Tamandua tetradactyla: one gene and its partner. The protein of the gene in region 1 purifies or fractionates together with the protein of each later gene. This does not show direct contact. Links are inferred from orthologs where the notes say so. Each region holds a gene or a part of one and is shown on either strand. Other genes may lie near its edges.

The links.
Region 2: the proteins of RANBP6 (region 1) and ARMCX3 purify together in Homo sapiens (co-immunoprecipitation; 3 studies listed by BioGRID and IntAct, counting the BioPlex papers as one, with this or other methods). This does not show direct contact. The link is inferred for Tamandua tetradactyla from reciprocal best matches to the Homo sapiens genes RANBP6 and ARMCX3.

What each region holds. Positions count from the first base shown.
Region 1 is NC_135328.1:91,787,685-91,799,611, reverse strand, and holds RANBP6 (ran-binding protein 6), read right to left. Parts: upstream 6,096-11,927; 5' UTR 6,074-6,095; coding exon 2,756-6,073; 3' UTR 1,323-2,755; downstream 1-1,322. UniProt on the Homo sapiens protein: May function in nuclear protein import as nuclear transport receptor.
Region 2 is NC_135353.1:71,881,570-71,894,235, reverse strand, and holds ARMCX3 (armadillo repeat-containing X-linked protein 3), read left to right. Parts: upstream 1-6,758; 5' UTR 6,759-6,927; exon of another isoform or gene 6,928-7,082; intron 7,083-7,103; exon of another isoform or gene 7,104-7,323; intron 7,324-7,459; exon of another isoform or gene 7,460-7,539; intron 7,540-7,776; 5' UTR 7,777-7,836; intron 7,837-8,123; 5' UTR 8,124-8,194; intron 8,195-8,471; 5' UTR 8,472-8,617; coding exon 8,618-9,757; 3' UTR 9,758-10,154; downstream 10,155-12,666. Other genes in the region: protein ARMCX6-like, read right to left, coding at 1-621. UniProt on the Homo sapiens protein: Regulates mitochondrial aggregation and transport in axons in living neurons. May link mitochondria to the TRAK2-kinesin motor complex via its interaction with Miro and TRAK2.

The DNA of each region.
Region 1 (11,927 bases):
AAGCCTCTCACTTGAAATTTGAAATAGCAAAAATGAAATTATAGAAATAAAGTATTTTATAAGTTGTTATATAACTAAATGGTCAAATAATCTCACTCCTCAGATTGTTTACTCCTCACTACTGTAATGTTTAAAGCACCGATAGAATTCAAAACCTAAAATCTTCCTTTTTTTTTTATCAAGTTAAAAGGCACTCTTAGGTAAAATAGTGAAGTGGATACAATTTGAGGTTTTAGGATATTGAACCTCCACTCTACACACACATCCATCTACTCAATGTCTCTTCTCACCTTAAATATTTGTATTTTATTTGTGATTTGCAGAGTTCTTCCTGTGGACTCAGAGCCCACAGGTATAATTCAACCCACAGAATGAAAAGCCCCAGCTTCACCAACTGGCAGTCAAACATTTGTCTGACTGAACACCCCTAATTTCATTTGACAGAGCAGAGATTTCCAAGAATCTGGAATCTACCCTATGAGCAAATATCCACTCCTCCTTTTTGGCCACCACCTCTATTTCATGACTTTCAGATAATATTAGCTTTCAGTTATTGAACCCTGAGCCACTAAATCACTTTACATTTATTATATTCTTTAATCCTCAAAGCCCTATTAATTAGGTATTATCCCCACTTTACAGATGGGGAAACTAATGCTTAGGTTAAAGAATAGTTTGCCAAAATTCAAATCTATATCAGTTTTATTTCAACAACTCCAGATGCATACTTTGAAGACTTCTGGCAGAATTTCCCATTCTTCATGCACAAGAATGTAGGGATTGCTAGAAATGTTGATGAAGGGCTTAACGAAGGGATTTAAAAGAGCAAGGATAGGTCATGAAAAGGCCAAGGTGGCAGGGATCCTAGCTCCTATTAGGAAAGCAGAATCAGGCCCTTGAACTTAAAAAATACAAAGCTTTATTTTATAAGAAATATGTTGGCTGTAGGTAAATTAGAAACTATAGATCAGTGAAAGATAAAAGAAAAAAATTGCCAATTAATCTCATCAGATTAACTTCTAATACTCAGTGGTGGGATCTTTCTATTTACTCATCTATATTTTTAAATTTATCTTAAATAAGTGTAACAAAATTGTGACCCTACTGTATATAAGGACTTTAACTTTTCTTTTTTTCCCTTCAATAATAAATAATGGTATGGAATGGACAGGACTTGCATAACTAAAATCTCAACTTTGTATCTCTGTCCACAATGGCCTCTAGGTGATTTGCCTTTGGGAACTGCAAAGGGGTGAATCAGGGAAGATTCTAATGTGAAAGGAATCCATTAAAAAAAAAGAACACATAAAGGGTACAAATAATAACAGCAATAACAGTTACCATTTATTGTGCACTTATTACGTTTTAAATAGTTGTTAAATACTTTACACATACACAGTACTCATAAGAGCCCCAGGAAATCATGACAGATGTATTGGTTTTTAATTTTTGGATCAATGAACTGCTGAGTAGAAAGCTTTTTTCCTACCCTACAAAAAGCTCAACATTAAAAAAACCAAGATTCTAATTTATATAATTAACCTTAGATTTATAGAAATGTTTTCTTATACTGTACAACTACTGCTACATGACTGGTCTCAACATTGTTTTCTTTCCTATGTTTAAAAATAACGTTTCGGTTGTGTTGCTAGTTCTTCTAAACCGATGCAAATGTACTAAGAAACGATGATCATGCATCTATGTGATGATGTTAAGAATTACTGATTGCATATGTAGAATGGTATGATTTCTAAATGTTGGGTTAATTTCTTTTTTTCCGTTAATTAATAAAAAAAAAAAATAACGTTAATTTTGCTTCCCTTTCACAGTAAAATACTCCTCAGTGCTATACAGAGTTTGTTAGGAATTTCTTCAAAAAAGAAATCTAAGCCTTATCCTGAATTAGGACTTCCCTTTTCATTGAGCTGCTTTGCAGGGGGAAAAATGGCACACATACATTAAGCAATACTGTGGTCAAACACATATCACTGACTGACTCCTCCACAAACACTAATGATTATTTGTCAAACATTGTTATACAGTATGTTACATGCTACCAATGTTAGATATACTCAACATTGTACCCCTTTTTCAGTAACCATGGTTCTTGAGAGTCCTGGATAACTTTAGGGACCCCACTAGCTAAGGTTTTAAAGTTCCATAACTCTTAGCTAGATATCTTAGGAACTAGAATGTGGTTATGTCCCACCTAGTTCCCAGGAATACATTATGAACAAGTTCATATAAATTAAAGAAAACTTCCCATACCCACTGCAACATTTCAATTTTGCATCTTCCCATTACCATGACAACTGGGATCAAGGAGGAAGTAATAAGCCCTTTATCCTTCACCCACAATTCCTAAGATATTTGTGCTGGAAGTTCTTCTATCTTGTCTTGGTGAACTCTAACATTTTACAATACTCAGCATGCCCTCTTAACACCAATTCTATTGCTCGTTCAGCATCAATAGTTGAGGCAAATATCAAATATTTATATACTTCATATCAACTAGGGAAAGAGGGCAAACATTCTAAGACAATGGAAGCACTGGTTATCACCAGGGTTCTGGGCTTAAGAGGTAAGACATGCAAGGTGAACAGAAGGCTATAAAGACCGACTAATCTTGGAGAAATGCTGGGAAGAAATATGAACTGCTTAAGCAGGGAGAAAACAGTTCTCTTACTTATAATCCATCCACATTTATTTGGAGTTGATTTTATGGAGGATAATATTCAAGTGGTATTAAAGTGCTTCAAGCAAAATTTAACAACTCCTGTAAGGCTACCTGTTGTTCATCATCAAGTTGAGATAGACATTCCAACCACAATTCTTCAGAAATCTGTACCTGGCGCACAACATTAGCTAGGCGTTTGGCACAAGGATCCTCATGGTTAATGGTCTCATTAATTTTTCCTTCTGCAATTATACTGATTATTTTGGGAAGATTGGAATTATCTGGACCAAGTACAAGTGGATGGTTACTTTCAATTAAGTCACAGAGAAAACTCAAAGTCTGAATAGCTTCCTCTTTATCTTCATGCAGTGGAAGCCATGATAACCAGTGTGGAAGAACTTCATCCACATTTACACAGTTAGGCTTAAACCTCAAAATCTTCCCTACTGCTGAGATACAGTTCTCTGTAGCAATGACATTTTTTTTGGTTTTAGAATTTGCACACTTAATGACTTTTACCAACAGTGGAATGGCTTCTGAACATAAAGAACGATAATCATCTCCACCAAACTGTGCCATAACTCCCAGGCCATAAGCAGCAGCTTGCCTAACTTCAGGGTTGTTATCTCGCATATTTAATAGCATTGGCCACCGAAAATATTCTACATATTTAAATGAGGTTGGACTGCAGTGCTCTATGATATCATCAAATATGCACAATCCCCACTGTCTGTCTGGCCATGGCCTATTTGAACAAATTAGATTTACAATTAATGGAAGTAGCTGTTCAAACCATGGTAAAATTTTTTCCTTATAAGTACTAAATAATGAGTGTAAAATATCTGATACTTTGGTTAGAATATAAACATCACATTCATCCTCATCTTGCAAAGACATCTCAACCTGTTGATCATAATTTTCTTCCTGTCTTTTAACCTGTCGCAATTCTTGATTTTTAAAGTGCCCTTCAAGTTTCGCTTTCAGTATTCCTCCCAATTCTTCCAACTGTTCATCATTAAGGCACCCATCTCCTATTACTTCAACGGACTTTGCAAAAGAACTCATTATTTCTGAGAGGACATCTGTATCAGGTTCGGTCCCAATAGCCTTGATTAACGGATCACATATGAATTGCCACATCTGTGCAAGATAGCCTGGACCATGAATTCTTGCACATTCCAGGAGAAATGGCATGGCCTCTGCTGCTGCCACTCGAACATTATCGTGGAAATAAAATTTCAGTAAAGGAACCATCAGCTTTACAACCTGTTCCGTATATTCCACAAATCCTTCCCTTAGCTCCTTAGCATAATAAACCAACATCTGGCAAGCAGTTGCTTTTGCTTCAAGTCCTGAAGTTTTAATTCCAAAACTTTGCTGGTCTCCAAGATTTACAAATTGCCAGCCATCATCATCATTCATATTCTCCACATCTTGTGTGTCTAAGAGAGCGACGTCAGGTTTAGCTGAAGCAGTCTTAATAAGAGGCTCAATAACCAGAGAAAGGTACTGTTGAAAATCTTTTCCAAGAATTTTACACATTCTAGCCCATGCTGAAACCATGTAAGAGATCTGAGGGTCATCATCTTCCATATTATTTAAGTCTGATTGTGTCTTCAACAATAACTGCATCACATTTGATGCATCTTGCATAAATTTTTCCTTCCCAACAGCAAGACCAACATGGCTAATACATTCAATAGTTTTTCCTCTTAGAAGCTTGAGTTCCTTCTGAACAGCAAGCTCAACAATGTGCTTTAGTGAGGGCATAAATACATCATAGTAAGGAACAAATTTTTCTTCTATTGTATCTGCAACTGAGGCAATGGTTGTCACAAGTTGTTCCAAGGCTAGCTTAGTTCCATTTCGAATCAACTCTTGAAGTTTAATCACCAAGATGGAATGTAGATTTTTCATCATATTATCTAAATATAGAACTAGCAATGACTTGGGGCAATCTTCAATAAAAATAATAAGAGCAGAAGCTGCATGTGATTGCACGCGCTGATTACCTTGATTTTCCATGGTACGCAACAGAGCTGCAATCACTGTTTCATGGAATTTCTTTTGGAAGCTGGGTGCAAAATCTGTAGCCATCTGTCCAAGTGTAGTACAGGCTGCAGCCCTCACCCTTGGATGGGGATCCTGAAGAAAAAGCAAAACAGAGTTAACCATTTCATCTAGAGTTGATTCCATTTGCTGATGGCATCCTTCTCCAATAGCAGATAAGGCCATTAATCCAGCATGTCGATACTTCCAGTCAGGGCTCTGAAGCATCTGCATTACATGCTCCTTGGTCATTGGCAAAACAACTTTTCCACCGAGGCCACAGGCTAGTCTGTCTAGTGCACTCTCGGCAGCAACAGCATTGCTGTCAAAATCATCTTCTTCCATTTCATCAGCATTTACCCAGTCCTCATCATCTGGAAGATCAACCATCATTGCTAATATATGAGGAACTGCCTGTGCAATAATGTTTGTATGCTTTTTCAGCATTGGGGTTGCAGTTTCAGACAAGGTCACTATTACTTCAAGGGCCAGCTGGCGTTGCAGATTACTAAGCCTAGAGTCTCCACATAACTTTAGACTCAATTGCAGAGTTTCCTCTAAATAAGGACCCAAGTACTTAGGAACGGTATCTGCAATCTCAACAAGGGACTCTAAGACGGAATCATCATCCTGGTAACATGAATCATCCACAGCCTGTAAAATTCCAGGAAGCAAGTCTGCAAAGTCTTTGAAAAGAGCAATATTATTCTCATTAGCAAGTACAAATGCAGCTGCAGCTCTAGCGGATAAGGTCCTAATCGCTGGATGTTCTTGATCTTGAATACACTGGTCCAACAACCGTTTGATGATATCCAAATCATGCTGCTCTTGGTTCCCAAAAATCCCAGGAAAGTGCCAGAAAACGTGAAGTGCAACTTCCCATAAAACCACATTTTTAGAGTGGATTGAGTCAATAAGGAATTTCAGACCTTCGGGCCAGTGGTTAGTGCCATCATCATCTATCAAATTCCTGGCCAGCACCGCAAAAATATCACAAAGTTTTTTCCTCATGCTCGCATGTGTTTCTAACTTAACAGCCAGGATCAGCTCAATCTTGACGTCCCTCTGAACATGAGAAGGTAGATTTGGATAGACTTCCTCAAACCCGGAGGACAAAAGCCTTCGTAGCAGTGCGGCAGCCATTTGTCTCACCTCATAACCTGCTCTTCTATTTCTGACGACATCTAAGAGGAATGTAGTCTTACAAAGGCCAGGGATATTTTCATAGATTTCCTCTGCCTGCCTCCGCACCATACAGCTTGGATTGATCAGGTTCTTCAGAAGCTGGTAAAACTCTTGCTTTTCCGACACCGCCGCGGATACCCCTGCAATCCCGGCAGCCGCCATCGCGCTCTGTCAAACTCAATGCGACGAGGAAAGGAAGGAGGGAGTACTGCGGCTCGGAGCAGTGACGTAACTGCGCGCCGACGTGGGTGGGCGGAGGCTCTTCTTACTCCTCTATCTTGGGTCCCAAGCTAGTTGCTGGGAGCACGGAGCTGGGAGCTAGGGAGCCAAGGTAGGAGGAGAGGGGCGGGGAGGGTGAGCAGGGAAGTCGAGTCCGTTTGTTTTCCAGTCAGATAAATATAATATGCCTCCGGGGTGGTGGTGGAATACAATATATATATAATATCGATTGTATTAGAGTGGAATTGTGTGTCCTTTTCTCTAGTTCCAAGTATTGTTGTTACCCGGATAACTTAAAACAATAAATTCACCTTGGAAACAGGCTAGGTGAAAGAGGCCAGTTACAAAATACCACCTATTGTAGATTCGCTTAATAGGGAAAGTCCAGAACAGGCAAATCTATGGAGATGGGTGGTTGCCAGGGGCTGGAGCGGGGATGGGGGAAGGAATGGCGAATGACTGCTAACAGGTAAGATGTTTTCTTTTTGGGTGATGAAAGTGCTCTAAAATTGATCGTTATGATGGTTGCATGACTCTGAATATGATAGAAACCATTAAATTGTACAATTTAAATTGGTGAATTGTATGTTATATGAATTATACCTCAATAAAATTGTTTATATAAAAACCAATAAGTCCAATAAAAAGTAAAAACAATAATTACGGCCCCACCCCCACCCCCAAGGCAGTACAGCAGTGGTCCTCCAACTTTGGAGTGTGTCAAAATGATCTGACCCATGGATTACAAAAAAGAATGCAAGAGACAACTGAATAAACTATGGTGGAAAATATCTTGGGTAATAAATAGAAGACCTGAACCTTAGTCTTATCTCTAAATTAATTTTATAGTCTTCATGGAACTCAAGTTTTTCCTTACACATTACCTAAACTGTAAAATGAAGGGGTTCCATTGTTAAAATCTCTGATTACCCTTTAGTAGGAAGCTGTTCAAGGTACTACACATATACACACACACACATGCACACACATACCCTTGAGGCCTAGTGTTTCTTGAATTCAAACTGGTGTGTCGGTAAAAAATACTGAACATCCCTCTAACGATGATTAGGTCTTTTGTATTAGCACTTGCCACCTTCTCATTTTGACTTTTATATCAGCTTATGAAGTTGGTAGGATAGGTATAATATTCCTAATTTTGGGGGGTGTTCTAGTTTGCTAGCCACCAGAATGCAATATCCTAGAAATGGAATCGCTTTTAAAAAGGGGGATTTTAATAAATTGTTAGTTTACAGTTCTATGGCTAAGATAATGCCCCAATTAAAGCAAGTCTGTAGAAATGTCCAATCAGAGGCGTCCATGGAAAGATATCTTCGAACATGGTGTCATCTGCTGGCTTGCTCTCCTAGCTTCCTTTCATGAAGCTCCCCAGGAGCCATTTCCCTTCTTCATTTACAAAGGTCACTGGCTGATGGGCTCTCTGCTTCTCATGGCTATGTTGTTCTGCTTTCTCAGAATCTCCTGGCTTTCTCTCTTGTTTTTCTCTTTTATAGGATTCCAGTAAACTAATCAAGACCCAACCGAATGGGTGGAGACACGCCTCCACCTAATCCAGTTTAACAACCATTCTTGGTCTAATCACAGTTTCAAACATACAGTACTGAATAGGGACTAGAAGAAACGGCTGCCTTCACAAAATGGAATCGAGATTAAAACATGGCTTTTCTAGGGTACATACGTCCTTTCAAACCAGCCCATTCCACCCTTTGGACCCTAAAAAAACATGTTTTCCCCATATACAAAATACATTCATTCCATAACAATATCAGAGACCCTTAAACCATTTCAATAACATTTCAAATACAAGATTAAAATCAGTACAAAGTCTCATCAAAGTTAGTTAAAGGCACAGACATTCCTAAGGCAAAATTTTCTCTATTGGCTCTGGACCTGTAAAACTCAGAACAAGCTATTTGCTGCCAACACACAAAGGAAGAACAGTCATAGGTTACATACACCCATCTCCATAGGGTGGAAGGAACACAGGGGTCACCAGACCCATAAAGTTTTGAAAACCTGCAGGACAAAGTCCATAAGATTTCAAAGTCTGAGAGTCATTTATCTTTGGGGCTTTTGAAAGCGGCAGTCCCACCCTTTCCAAAGGCCTGCATAGAGGCCTGCCTCTCTCTCAACGCAACCCTGGGGTATAAGAGGGAGAACACCTTTTTCTTGGCTCCACCATCTCCAAGGATCGGGGCTGCACCCGTGCTCTCTGCCGTCTCTGGGACACACACTCGACCCCTCCATGTAGTGGCAGCCAGGCTCTCCCCAAGCCCTAAGGAATGTGCTTCACTCTCTCCAAGGCCTGAGGCGGCATGACTCTTCCACCACAATGAAGTACAAGGCCCATCTGCTGCCTGTGGGGCAAACTTACCCTCTCCACAGGCTTGGGTGGGTCTGTCCTCTTGGCCAGAGGCTTCTTGACTTAAGACCCCGGCCTCCATGGTTTCACCTCGAGTTATTTTTCTTCAATGTGTCCCATCTCTGAACCCCCCAGTCCAGTCTGGCAGTGGCCCTGTTTATGCAGGTCCCACAGCACTCTTGTTGGGCTTTCTATGCAGTAGCCTTGGATCATGCCCATCAAACATAAAGAGTTTCCACAAATCCTTCTTGGATAACTCCATGTCCCATCCTGGCTTTCTCTGAAATGGCTGACTGGTTTCACATTTGGCCAAGACCTTATGTGGTGCACTATTCTCTGGGGTCTCCATTCCTGGAAACCCAGAATTTTCCAGAATATCAACTTCTAGTTTCTTTGTACCCAAGAGTTCAGTTCTCAGCTTTATCTTTCCTCTCTCATTTCACTATAATCTGTGAGGAGAAACCAGGCTGCACTTTCCACATTTGATTTGGAGATCTCTTCTGCTAAATATCCAAGTTCATGGCTTTTAAAACCTGCTTCCAGCCAAAGCCACTGGTCAGTTTTGCCAGATTATCTGCCATTTTAAAACAAGGCTCGTCTTCCTTCCAATCTATAATAACAGGTACCTCATTTCTGTCTAAGGCTTTATTAGAAGTGTCTTTAGAATCCACATTTCTATCAACAGTCTTTGCAAAGCATTCTAGGCCTTCTCTATCAAGCTTCTCACAACTCCTCCAAATTCTTCCCCTTATTCATTTAAAAAGCCGTTCCAACATGTTTGGTATTTGCAAGCTGCAGCTGCAGCAGCACCCCACTCTTCAGTACCAAAATCTGTTCTAGTTTGCTAGCTGCCAAAAGGCAATATCCTAGAAATGGAATCGCTTTTAAAAAGGGGGATTTTAATAAATTGCTAGCTTACAGTTCTATGGCTGAGATAATGCCCCAATTAAAGCAAGTCTGTAGAAATGTCCTATCAGAGGCGTCCATGGAAAGATATCTTCGAACATGGTGTCATCTGCTGGCTTGCTCTCCTAGCTTCCTTTCATGAAGCTCCCCGGGAGGCATTTCCCTTCTTCATTTACAAAGGTCGCTGGCTGGTGGGCTCTCTGCTTCTCATGGCTATGTTGTTCTGCTTTCTCAGAATCTCCTGGCTTTCTCTCTTGTTGTTCTCTTTTATAGGATTCCAGTAAACTAATCAAGACCCAACCAAATGGGTGGAGACACACCTCCACCTAATCCAGTTTAACAACCAGTCTTAATTAAATCACACCTCCGGGGGGATGATCTAATTACAGTTTCAAACATACAATACTGAATAGGGATTAGAAGAAACGACTGCCTTCACAAAATAGGATCAGGATTAAAATATGACTTCTCTAGGGTATATACATCATTTCAAACCAGCACAGTGGAAACCGAAACCCAGAAAATTTCAAGGACTTACCTAAAATGAAGCAGCTGAGTCTCAAACCCAGATCTTTTGAAAATAACACCAATGTTCTTTTCCCTACACCGCTTCCCCATAATTAATCTTACTTGGTTTTACAACATGACCTTGCACTTACTGCAAGTGGTCAAGAAATTTAAGTGTCTTAAATTTCTCCACGTGGGCTTAATTTTAATTTTGTGAAGTGCTGCTGCATATACCTAGAGATAGAAATTCATAACTTTAGCATTAATCATGTAATGGAAAAAGTAAATAGTCTCATAAATTACAGTGTAATATATAATAATACATTCATTTAGGAAGAAGCACTATTCTCTAAAGAGCATAGGTCATCTTTTAGGCTGAAAAACCAATGATAACAGAATTACCTGAGATACTTTTTTTAAAATTTAGATATTAGGGCCCAAGCTTCAAATGACTAAAGCGGAATTTCTGGGGAATACAACCTAGGAATCTTCCATTTAAACAAGTACACTGGGTTTTCATACAAATATCAAAACTTGAGACCCACTGATGAGATCAGTTCTGGTCTAATTCCAACAGCTTGGCTATAATTCTTCACCTTGCTCCACATGCACTAGTTTCCTTAATATTCCTTGAAAAAGTCTAACTGTACGGCCTTTGTATTTGCCGTTTCTGGAAATGTTTAATGTTTGATATGCTAATGTGAGGATAAAATGTTTCTCTTGATGTTATATCATTGGTACATTAAATACTTAACACTAGAAATATAATTGAGTTCTTGCAAGAACTACTTCAAAGGTATGATTCATGTACAAAGAGTGTTTTAAGTTCAGGGTACAGGGGGAAAACCGCTATTGCATGCTATGGGCTATGTTTAAAAGGAAAATATGAGCACTACTACAGAACAGCAGAGGTAGATAATGGGGGGAGGGACAAGAGTTAAGAGGAGGTTTGGATTTCCTATTTAGTGAGGGTGTGTTTATTGGTTATCTTTCTCTTGGAAACGATGAAATTATCTAAAATAGAGAGTGTTGATAGACTGTGGACTTTGGACACTATACATGAAGCCTGATGAATACAGGTGGCTAAAGGATGCACTAACTGAGAAGTAGATTGGCAAACGATGGTGTATACATATGATCACATGTTGTGCTGCTACAAAAAGGAACGATGTCCTGAGCCATGCAACAATGTGAATGAACATGTGGGACATTTGGTGAGGCAAAATAAACCAGAAATGAAAGAACAATTATGGTATGGTCACCTTTAGAAAATGCTTATGAGAAAACAGGGGCCTAGATTGTAAGCTTTTATAGCAGGCACATTTAGTCTGGAGTGGTAATTATTATTTCTGGATTTTGAGAGGCTGTTGTGTGTGTGTGTATATATATATATATATATATATATATATACATATATATATATATATATATATATATATATATATCCTGGCATTTAGAGATAAGAATGAAGCCAATCAGGTTGGGGTTAAAGTAATTCAGAACACAGGGAAGGAACACATTGTCTGTATTTTAGAACCACGCATACTCCTTGAGACCAAAGAAAGAAAGGTTTATTTTGTCAGGAACCTAAATTTTCTGTAGCGCATAATCTAACTCATCCTATTTGTATAGCTTATTTGAAGAACTGAAACACAGGGAGCCCAGAATAAGAAAGAGGTCCTTTAATCTTGTATAGTTTAATGCAATGCCTGGATACATCCTAGAGTATATTAAGCAGATAATCAAAAAGTATTGGCAAAGTCCCTTGAGGGATGGAAGAAAAAATATGAACTATTAAACTATACCATCAGGGAATCCACTGACACTATGTCAAACCTTAGGGACACCCATATCAGCAGGCCAAGCCCTTGATCTTGAAGCTTACTCTTGTGAAGCTTATGTAGGTAGCGGAATTTAGCCTACCTGTAGGTGTGCCTAAGAGTATACTGCTGGAGGACCTCTTTTGTTGCTCATATGTGGCCTCACTCTCTCTAAGCCCAACTC
Region 2 (12,666 bases), on another chromosome or scaffold:
ATGTGACACAGTCTCCTGACACACTTCACTGATGTACATCTTAATCTGGCCCTGATGTTCAACACTCCCATTCAACATATCCAGGGCACGCACAGCCTTCTCCTTCACAGCGGTTCTGGGAGTGGGGACCATGCTTCTAGTAATTGGGAGGCTGGGCAAATCACAGTTGGTATTGTGGGTAGAGGGAAAACCAGCCTCCCTGGCCTGAGCAAACAGCATTTTTACCTGAATGAAAGGACACTTGGAGAGATCAAGAACAACACTCATATTATTAACAGTAGTACTCCAAGTATTTTTATGTCCATAGGGGGACGGGCGCTCTTTTATTAGGTATGTTCGGTTAGCTTTACCCCCACCTGACGGCCTGTCTTCGCTTCCACCTGGGGCCCCAGGTTTAATCCAATCCCCATCCTCATTCCAGGGTCGAGCCATAGTTGTGAAATCAAACCACATGTCGGGTTCCTCCTCATCCAGTGCCTCATCTTCATCCCATTCGTCTTCCTCTTCCTCCAACTTGTCACTGTCATCTCTTCCTATGGTTAGTTTGTAAACACAGTAGCAGGCACCAGCCCCGATCATCAGTCCTGCTGCCATCCAACCCACTTCCCGAGCCCGGCCCATACTTAAGTCCGTGCCAGCCTTGGGGCCGGCCAGGAGAGGGATTTGGTCAGCCTGATTGCAGAGGACTCTTGGGTAGTTTTCAGCCTCTTACAGTCTCCTGCAGCGGTCTTTTGATGAATCTATGGGTGGAAAAGTGTATTAGGGATTGTGGCTGTGCCTGGATGTGCACCTTATCAGTGTGCCCCAGTGGAAGCTGACAATGGTTTATTATTAGCAAATCATTTCTCCCTTTCTTTCTTGTACTCCCCGGCTATTCTCAGGGTCCTCTGTTTTCTCTTCCAGTTTCCACAAAAAAAGGGTGAGATATGGTTCTGAGCCATGGCAGCCAGGAGGCTGAGAGGGAGCAGCAAATCTCAGTTAATCTCATCCTCCACCACGACCCCACCCTTCAAGGATTCACAGGCAATTTCATCAGCTAACCTCTGCCAATGCCGGGGTAAATGCTTTCTTCTTCCCTTGTCTTCAGTTGTTAGTGCTCCCTACTGGGTGACAAATGGACAGTCTAGCATAGAAAGGAAGATAAGCAGTAATAGATAACTCAGTGTGGTTGATGGATTGGCACTCAGGGTACAGCTCCCAACACCTGCTTTTTTGACTTCTAGGCCCTGAGTTTAAAATATTTCCCACCCCACCCCCCGACTTTCCTAACGCGGACTTCCCCGCCCCCACCCCGCCCCCACCCCTTGCCGTCCGCCATTTCCCCAGTAAAGGCGCCACACCCCTTTTCCTGCACAGAAATGCGAGGGGGTATGAAGAAAGAAGGGGCCCGGAGAGGGCGACTCGGACCTGGCCCGCACAGATCGCAGCCCCCTTTCATCCCCGCCCAGGGTCCCGGGCTAATCCCACCTTCACGTTGTCTTGCACGGTTCCAGAGCAGTTTGCTCCTTCCCTCGTAGCAATTTGAGCAGCGAGTATAGGCCAACAGACCTACAAACCTGCAGACAAGAGACAGAGCGGACGGAGTGCTAAGTGGACGGACCAGCACCCAAGGTACCGGTACCCTAATTGAGGAATATGTCTTTCCTCGCGGTCTCTGTAACCGCCACCTACTGCCCCCATCCCCTCCCCCGCTCGAAGCCCGCCAGTTCTCTACTCAAATGGGCAGAGGACACGGGATGGGAGGGGGTATTTAGAAAGTAGGCGAGGAGGGGACAGAGCCCCGATTGGCCCAAACCACGGCGCTCCTGTCCCTCTCCCACCCCCACCTCTCACCAAGCAGCGCCCACCTTCACACCGACCTGCACGTTGCGGACTAGTTTCTTTCTTCGTTCACCCGCTTGCAGAGTGATAGGGGACTGGTTCCCAGACGGAGGCGACGAGCAGGACTTCTGCTCTAGTCAGCTCTTGGTCACGTGACGATCACGTCACCAGCCCTGGCCCCCAATTTCCACTCCCACAAACAGTGCGGCAGGCGCCAGCCCGCCCCGTATCTCCCTCAGTCACACTGGGCCCTGTCACTCTTTTTCTCTTAAACAATACCAGACACCAGAGGTGGTCACGTCTTTTTGGAACTTGAATTTGCCTTTCTGTAATTACAGGAAGGGGCAGCATTTTTTCCTGGGACTACCGTTCACTTATGCTTCTTGATGAATTCTCTCACTGGTTACTAGGCACCGAAACTCCTGCAGCCCACTTCGAATTTTTACCCCTTCCCATATACATTCTCTGCACCAAAATAGAGGGTGGGAAGTGGTCAAAAGGAAGCCCAAGTATTAGTGAGAATTTAATTAATATTTTTATATATTTATGCTTTATTTCATTTTTCTTTCTTTTTTTACTGACTTGTTACACTATATTGCAATCAGAAAATACAATAAAACCATTTTCATTTGGGGAAAACTGGATTCAAGTAAAATGAAAAAAAGTATATAAGATATCTCCCCAATAGGGAGGCCTCATTGACTGAGTTAATTTATACCACATTGGAAATATTTTCTTCTGACTGCATTGGAAATACAAGTTTCATACAGCGCATTATAATTAAAACGAAAAACCCTTAAAAACAAAACCAGTGCGCTTTCAATGTCATTTATAAAATGATGGACAAATTAATATATATTGACAAGGTAATGTTCTAATCATGACCATCTAAAATAAACGAACCACTGTGCCTTTCTGTCTTCTGGCTGAACTTATGGTATTAGATGTCAATCTTCGAGATCTTCATGGACAACTCTTGGATGTCTTCCACTCTGACTTCAAAAGACAAACTTTATGAAGACCTCCAATTCAGGGTGAATGTAGCATCTTACAAGTTCAGTATCTCCACAGATGAGCCTATTTTCCATTCAGAGAGGTTTATTTAAACTCCATTAAGAAATTTCATGATGCAACCCATAAATCATTCAGAAATTAGAAAAATCTTTGCCATCCCCCAATGAAATGAGGCTTATCAGGTGGGCTTTCCCTTCCATCGTGGTGCTGGTGAGATCTTTCCGGTATGGGTCATTTATGTACCGCACTTCACATCACCTCAGCAGTGGCTGGTATTCAGCATTTTCCGGTGGGTACAATGGTGAGGGTCTGTGTGTGACCACGAACCACTGCAATACCCCTTTTATGTTCGTGTCATTTTCCCCTCACAAATAAGAGTGTGTACAGGATCCCAAGCACTCATAGGGATAAAAAAACCTTTCCATTCCCTGTCTTCTGTTCCAGTCTCATTGCACTACCTGTACAAGCCTCTCAGAATCATCTCAGAACTGAGGGACGAAGTGTGTAGAATTAAGTCCTCAGATATCCACCTGTCCTTGTCAGGGAGTCATAGTCTAAATATAGATCTTTTAGGCAGCCATTCTATCAGAACATTGAAATATGACACCCCAGTCAGAGGCTCACCCTGTGAGGGGCCCTTGTGCAGGGCAGGCTCTTCCCAGAGGTGAGCCAGGGAGACTAGAGAGGCTTGCTGGTGAATATTTGGAAGTCAGTATCATTCACGTTTTGATCTTCCCTAAACTTTTCTAGTCCAAACTCACGCACTAATATCATACCACATTTGTTTCCCCAATACCCTTACACTGTTCTTTTTATCACTCTTGATTCAATTCTGCCAGACAAATGAATTCCATTTACGAAGGTTTACTAAGAGAACTTTCAGATTCAACTGTTCATCATTCAGTTTTTGGCTGCAGGTTCTTATATAAGTGAGTTTTATTTGTTTCAAATATATACATTAGAAATAAGTAAGGAGTATGTAAAGTATAATAAAGGCAGTGGTCTTGGTGTCATAGACATGGCTCTACAGTAAGGACACATTTTCACAACACTTAGCAAGGTTCCAAGGACAAAAGCGTCACTCCAACTTCTCCTTCCTAATATAAAATATATCCCCGTCCTTGGTGTATTCTACAATTACCTCAGTGTATAACCCCCTAACCACCATTCTTTCAGTTTGCCAAACTTTTCCTGATTTGAAACTTGCTGAACTTCTGAGCATGACTACCTTTTCATTTGTCTTACCCATTTGTAATTCTGACCCACAATTTCTACCAAGGAACCTGGGACTAGTATTTAAAAATTACTTTGCTCTCCATTATACATCTACCAACAAATATTTATTTAAGGCCATGTTATGTGCCTTGCATACTATTTCAAAAATGAAAAAATAAAATCCTTAAACAGTTCTCCAGGTAAGCTTGCTGAAAGTTCCTGACCTGTAAAAGACTACGTGAAACCACAGCTAGAAGGAAGCTTTTGGCATAAATCAGTATCGGTCAAATGTGATTATAAAATGTCCCCAAACAAACAAACAAAAAGAGATCAGTAGATAGTAACACTGATGGAATTGCAGAAGGTAAGAAAAATAAATTATAGAGGATTGTTATTTTGATAAGCTGTATTACTTTTTGTATTATAATGCTGTTCTTAGTTAAGGTTCTTTGCTTGCAAGCATCAGAAAGCAAGCCTGGTTAACTTAAGCAGTAAGGGAATGCTGGAGACCAGGATGTTCTCTGAGAGGTCTAGGTAGCAGAAATTGATATGTGCCAGAATTCCATCAATTTTCAGATTTTTTTTCCTCTGCCCAAGATTCAAATTTAAGAGAGCATATGGTTGGCTTCTTTTGGGTCATATACCTGCCCTTTAGCTGGGGAAAATATGAGTATACAAAATGTAAAATGAATTTCCTTTCTTTTCCCAAAGAGAAATGTAAACTGTTCCAGCTCTTTTTGTTGTTGATTTGTATGCGCTCTTTCAGTACTTTGACTGAGGTGCTGGGAGACTATTGACTATAGTGTGTTTTAGTTATAATTTCCCCTTAACTGAACATTTGAGAGCTGCAGCTCTCAAATGCTGATGCACAGAGTTGTTCGAGCCAAGGCCAGGTGGCTTCCCTGACAGGATTCCACAACATTACATCTACAGTGCAGGGTCTTGTCCTCAGCACGGTATGATCAATCTTTGATTGTGTCTATACTCTGAGAACAGATGCCTCAGTCAAATCATTCACAGAGGTGTACATATAAATCTAGATCAAAATGCTTAAACCCAGGGATCTCTGCATTCCCTCCCTGTAAGTTGGCCAGAGGTAAGCTAAATCTCAACAGAATTGCCAATTGAAGAATTTGCCTGAGAAATACAACTGTCAGGCATACTGAAGGTTTCTGTCAGTCTTACTAAACACCCTCTTCCTATAGATAAACTACTACTTGGGAAGTTACAGCCTCAAAAGGTCACATAGTGAGCTTGAAATCAGAACAAGGGTGGTTGGCTCACCTTAGGAAGTGGCTTTCAGCTAAGGAAGCTGGGGATGGTGCTGCCAAGGAAAGTTAAATATTCCATTCATCCTAGTGAAAACTCCCTCTCTCCAGACAGTGCTTGGTTAAGAACAACCAAAACTTTCCAGTCTCTTCCTTTTGTATATTTCTCTGCTTGAATAAGCCCCTTGCACAATCTTTCTCTAATCACAGAATCGTCTAGTTGACTTGGTTTGCTTAATTTCAATCATACCCTAGTACTGCCTCCCAGAGTTTGATCAGATATGAATTTCCTTGGAGATTTTCCTGTTGTCAAACTCCCCAGTCTGTAGATTTATTCTTGTACTGACTATGGAAATAACAGCCTTAAATCCAAACTTTTAAGGAGTATCCCACTGCAGACCCTGTGTTCTGACATTATTTTAATACTTCTCCACTTAAATATAGATAACTAATTGGTGACAGGAGTTTCATCAAGCTCATCACACCAGTCAATGGAATGGTTTCAAAGTAATCACTACGGGCAGAGTTTAGCCAATTTTGTCTTGTTCTCAATGTTCCACTAATCCCTAGTTCATTTACAGATGATATTAGCTGTTTGTACCCAGACACATTTTGTAATATTCTTTTTATGTCACTAATTTTGTCAGTCGCATGACTTTTTATCTTACAGATACCAACCAAGTAGTTATAATTTCTACTCAATCTTTTCTGTTTTACTGGGTTTTGAGGGCTCAATGCTTCTTGTTTGTTAAAAGATGCAGGTGGAAGTCTATAGCTATCTTATTTAGAAGACTGACCTTAGCCAAAAGATTTACAAATTTGGGGGCACACTGATTAGCCCTTTCAGGGTTGTATTATGTGCCAGGACCCAGAAAACATTAAGACTGCTTCGAGTGAAGTGTGGGAATGTGGGATTTTTAGAGGCTTGATAGCACTTAAGATCAATCTTCCACCTCCTCATTTTTGTTACCCAAATGAAAATAGATTTATGGTATTTTTTCTCATAAAAAGAATGCAGGTTGGGAAGGGGGAGGGGTCAGAGCAAAAACAAAACAACAAAACTACATTAAGAAGGTAAAAACCAAACTCTCACTCCAGGCCTCCTTTTTGATGACTTGTTCATGTCAGATCTAGGAGTAGATTTCAGAGGAAATGGTAGACATTAATAGCAAGGAGAGGGGGTGGAGGGAAAGGCTGCTATCCCAAGAGCTTAGGGAAGGAAAAGGCAATTTTTCAAAAAAGTTCAAGTGGCCAGTACACCCAGGGCAAGATGCTGTCCCTTTCTGGTAATCAGAGGAGGGCAGATACAACCACAGAGAGATGGGATTATGAAGAGAAAAGAGTGACAAGGCCGGGTATGGGGGAGGGAATGGATGGGGGCGGGCCCTCTTCTGCCGCACTGCTGGTGGGAGGGGAAATTGGGGACCCGAGTTAGTGGATGACGTAGATATCACGTGATCAAGAGCTGACGTGTGCAGAAGTCCTTCTTGTCCTAGTCGTTGTTCCCGTCCGTCCGAGTACCAGCTCCCAATTGCCTTGAGGACGGGTGGGCCTGCGGCAGAGGGAAGAAGGAGGAGGAGGAGAAGGAAATCGTCCCGGATCCCTGCAGGTCAGTGCCTGAGAAATTCCATAAGGTGGAGGTGGTAGAAGACGCAGGGCGGAGACCGTCGCGAGTCCTGGGGCGCCTCCATCGGTCTCTCCCATTCGCCGCCGGCTTTCCAAGACTTAAGTCCTGCCTGCAGCCTATTTCATTGCTGCGAAACGGTGAGCAGGGAGTGTTTGGGGAGGAGCCTAGAGACCGGGAGGTGGGAATATGTTGGGATCTGAGGCCCACAATCCGGAAAGGGAGCTGTGGCCTGGGTGTTGGCTCCCCAGTTCACCAAGTCGGTGCTGGAGGGGAAAGGTCGGGAATGGGGAGGGAGATGAGGTGCAACGAGTGTGTCAGTGGAACCTCAAGAGGGTTAACAAAGATGGGAAACCTTTAAAAACCGAGCCTCGGAATTAGGTAAGTTTTCGTGTTCTGGGAACTGGTCTGTCCACCAAAAGCTCAGTAGCAGCTGTTTCCCATCCTTCTGCTTTTGGCTGTATCTTCTTGACTGTGGTCTGGGTCTAGTGGGTACGAGCCTTTCCTGGGTGGCCAGTCTTTCTGTAGGTTGCTGTATGACGCCAGGCAAGAGAAGAGGAAGGAAATTAAACCCTATCGGTGAAGGTCGATTTGAGGGTAAGACCATCTGGGCACCCCAGGAGGGGCGGGAGTGGAAGTGGGGAGAAAACAGAGATGTAATAATTTAGGTTCTCCTCTGAGTCTGAGTGCGTTTCTCACATTCCCCCAAATGTGGCGAAATGGCTGCGTTGAGGGGAGGAAAAGGATGACAGGAGAGATATCTATCAGATAGTTTGTTCACAATTCTCTCTCATCCAGAGTTAGTCTCCATGTTTTCAATCTGTCATCCTGCAGGTTTGCTGTAGCAGGTGGCACCACTTGAAGCAGGGAGGAAGTTTCCCCGGAGCTGTAGAGGTCGGTGTGCCTGTGGGGGCTGCCTGGAATCGGGGAGGGGACAGAGATCAGCTGAGGTTTGGATGGGCTCACCCACTCCTACCTTATTTTCCTTACATCCTTCCCATTTCAAGCGAAGGAGGAAACAGGCATGTGCATATTTTTGATGGGCTAGAGGGACTGAGAGTTTAAAGAAAAACAACAAGAAAACCCCTGACAACGGGATCATGAATCAGGGAAGCAACACATGAACAGTCACTTAGGCATTTTTCAAGCCCTTAGTCCTCACTGCTCTGGTCTCTCTGCAGATCCGAAAGGTTGTTGGGTGTGGCAACTTCCAGGGGAGGGAAGAAGGAACGAATTGCCCAGTCTTGTGGAGGTTAGTGCAAGAGTGCTACTCCCTGGGGATGCCTGTGGTTGGGTGACAAGGCCCCAGCAGAGTCTTTTAACTCTATTGCCTTTGTCTAGGTTTGAGGTGGGAATGAGCTGGGGAGGTACGGAGAGGGTGAAATGAGGGGGTGGATATAAGAATTTGTTAACAATTTATAATTCCCACCAAACTCCCAGTTACTATTCTCCTGTCTTCTGTGCAACTCTGCATGGGGCAGCACAAAGAGAAGAGAAACTTCAACCCCATTTCCTTCCTGCATCCCTAGGTCCACCTCTAGTTTCAGCTGTTGTGGCCTTGAAGTGGCTGAAGACTGCCATTCTCCACAGACCTGCACCCAGGCCCACAGCCGTCTGCCCCCAGCCCAAGTGACAACTCTGTTCCTTGGTCCCTGCTATTGTCAGGGACGATTGCATGGGCTACGCCAGGAAAGTAGGCTGGGTGACTGCAGGACTGGTAATTGGGGCTGGTGCTTGCTATTGCATTTATAAGCTGACCCAGGGAAGAAAACAGAACAAGGAGAAAATGGCTGAGGGTGGCTCTGGAAATGTGGATGATGCTGGGGACTGTTCTGGGGTCAGATACAATGACTGCTCTGATGATGATGATGACAACAATGAGAACAAGGATATAGTATGGTACCCACCTTGGGCCCGGATTGGGACTGAGGCTGGGACCAGAGCTAGGGCTAGGGCAAGGGCCAGGGCCACCCGAGCACGTCGTGCTGTCCAGAAACGAGCTTCTCCCAATTCAGATGATACTATTTTGTCTCCTCAAGAGCTGCAGAAAGTTCTTTGCTTGGTTGAAATGTCTGAAAAGCCTTATATTCTTGAAGCAGCTTTAATTGCTCTGGGTAACAATGCTGCGTATGCATTTAACAGAGATATTATTCGTGATCTGGGTGGCCTCCCAATTGTTGCAAAGATTCTCAATACTCGGGATCCCATAGTTAAGGAGAAAGCTTTAATTGTTCTAAATAACTTGAGTGTGAATGCTGAAAATCAGCGCAGACTTAAGATATACATGAATCAAGTGTGTGATGACACAATTACTTCTCGCTTGAACTCATCTGTGCAGCTGGCTGGACTAAGATTGCTTACAAATATGACTGTTACCAATGAGTATCAGCACATGCTTGCCAATTCCATTACAGACTTTTTTCGTTTATTTTCAGCGGGAAATGAAGAAACCAAACTTCAGGTTTTGAAATTACTTTTGAATTTGGCTGAAAATCCAGCCATGACTAGAAAACTGCTCAGGGCCCAAGTACCATCTTCACTGGGTTCCCTCTTTAATAAGAAGGAGAACAAAGAAATTATCCTTAAACTTCTGGTCATATTTGAGAATATAAGTGACAATTTTAAATGGGAAGAAAATGAACCTACTCAGAATCAATTCAGTGAAGGTTCACTCTTTTTCTTATTAAAAGAATTTCAAGTGTGTGCTGATAAGGTTCTGGGAATAGAAAGTCACCATGATTTTTTGGTGAAAGTAAAAGTTGGAAAATTCATGGCCAAACTGGCAGAGCATATGTTCCCAAAGAGCCAGGAATAACATCTTGAGTTTGAAGCCTAGAAGCAATACACATTGTAAACTATTCCTTTTCTCCACCTTGTTTATATGGTAAAGGAATCCTTTCAGCTGCCAATTTTGAATAATAAATTCATATTGTATCATCAATGCCAATATTAACCAAGTTGGTTTTCAGGTTGAAGCTGAATGAATGAATATTGCTACTTGTTCTGAAAACGTTTGTTGCTTTTTAGCTCACTGCCTAGATTGAAATACTTTTGCTGTTTCCTTCCACATAAGTAAGTGACTGACAGTGAACCAATTAGTCATACGCCAGCTCCATTCTGTCATTTGCATTGACTTCATTTGTGTATCATCAATAAAGGTGTGTGTTAATGCTTGAAAAAAAAGATAAAAGGAAAGAAGAAAGAAAAAACAACCCTTGTCCTTCTATTTATGATCTTTTTGGAGAGATAAGAAACATACAAACAAAAAGATAATTGAGAATATCTTGAGCACATGCTCATTATCAAATGTGCGTAGAGGAGGCAGAGGTTTCTGTGGGTAACAGTTAGTCAACTAAAACTTCACAGAGAAGGCAGCCATTTAAAATGGGTCTTGAATGGAGTAAGGTGTTTAAGGGCGTTCCATGAGATAGGAATGAGGGGGAATGGTGTAAGAAAGGCATGGAGGTAGAACTCCTCTCCTGTGGCAGTAAGACCAGTCTGTTTAGACTGGAGAGAATGGGGAGTGGGAGCAGATAACATTTTGAAGCCGTTTTGTGTAGAACTGTTTGAATATCATCCCATTGAACCTGAAAGCCACTAAATAAGTTTTTTTTTACTAGAAAGAAAAAATGGAACTTATATAAAAGTCCCTCTCTCCCCTACTGTGCCATGTCAGCAAGGGTGTCACAAAGTTGACCCTTTCAAACCCTGGTGACGGGAATGAATTTACTCTGACACAAGGTTTGTGGAGGGTCATTTAGTAATACATATAATCCTCAAAATATGTATACCCTTTGACTTATTCATCTTAAAGAAATAATTGAACAAATGGCCAAAGATTGTATATAAAAGGCTGTTCATCCCAGCACTCTCTAAAATAGTAAAAATTGAAAACAACCTATGTGTCCAGCACACTGGATTGGCTAAACAAATTATGAAATGTTCACACAGTGTATTATGATAAATATGTTTATAGAAATATGTATTACCAGGGAAAGATATACATCATGCATTGTTAGGTGAAAAAGGTAGGATAGTAGCAGTATTTATAGTATGATTCTATTCTTCAAGAATTAATGAAACACATGCTTAAATAGACATACAAAAATTCTGGACTTATAGATACCCAAGTGGTAGCAGTGCTTATCTTCGGGTGGAATTTTAATGAGTGATTTGTACCCTTTTACTTTTTATTTATCTCTGCATTTTAATCTAAAATGAATATTGATTTTAAGACATTTTTGAAGAGAAAAGTATAGGGAATGAAACAAGTGAATAGAGCATGACTGAATGGAAAAATACTTGAATTAAGAATGAGGTGGATTGAACGTTCCTCTCTGAAATGATACATGAGAGGTGATCGGGCTTGTCATGAGTATAAAATGAGCTAATACATGTAGAATACTCACAACGTTTTGGTACATAACAGTTAATCAAGAAAAGTGAACATCCTTAATTCCCAAAAATGCAGAGTTGATAGTGTTTTGGTTGACTTTTGTTTTGTTGGGGCATTCTACCATTTGTCAGTGTCATTTAATAAATAATAACAACAATAAAGGTTAGCATTTATTAAGTGACTACTTTGTAGAGTCCTATCATTCCTGTAAGGCAACTGTTAAAATAATTTGTCAAAGGAATAGGATTTTCATTCTTTTCTAAGAAAATAAAGTGTTTCCTCAGACATGATCTTAGCAGCCTCCACAACATATTCCTAATTGGTGTGGAGGGCTAGGTGATGTTATCATGTTTAATATGATGCAAGGAAGGAATCAAATCCTCTCCGGTTCTGGACTGGTTTTACCCTCAGGTCTCCATAAACTCACACTAATGTAATCTGTTTTAGACAAAGGGACCGCGTACTGCTTGGCTTAAAGTTGTTGGGTGTGGTGACCCTACTGCATCATACACATGTGGGGATTCATGGCACTTATTTTAAGAGTGGAGCAAAGGGAAAGGAAACTAAAATTTTTCTTGCTCCTGTTAGGTACAAGAAACAAATTTGGAAGGGGAAGAGGATGAATCCACTTTAAAGTAACTTGAGTTTGAAGTGCCTGTGTGGCATCCAGATGTGGCCATCCTATTATTTGCATGTACTGATCTGGAGCTCAGAGGAGAGGACTGGGCTGCAAATATGGATTTGGGAGCCTTCAGAAAATGAATGATAATTGAGGACATGGGAGTGGATGTGACTCCATCGAGAGAGTGTAGAGTGAGAAAATGGAGGACTGCAAATAGAACTGTGTAAGGGCCTGTGACAGTTGTGAAGAAAAGCACATATTTGAAACTCAGTGTCTGCCATTTTAGACATTTTCACTATCCATATATCTAGATATTCTTTACACAAAATTGGGTTATAGAGTAGAAAAATTTTCAGAGCACGATTTATTTTTTTCTTATTTTTCTCCTCACAAAAATAACATTATTGGAGGTACCTAAGAAAATAGAGTCAATGAGTGCAAACTTGGCCTCAGACCCAGATATGCAGCTTGAACATCTAAACAATTTTCAGTTCAAGGCATGTTTAACTTACGGTACTGAGTGACTTTTATACCTGGGGTAAATATGAGGTTAACTTCCCAGTAATAAACCACAGTGAAGCAGGGCTCAGGCCTGACCAGTGCCCATTGGCTCTTGTAGTTCTCTTTTATCCTCCCCTTGTCCCTTCCCATTTTTCTTTCCGCACTTCCCAGCACTTCTATCTTTAATTCCTCTTTCTGGGAGATA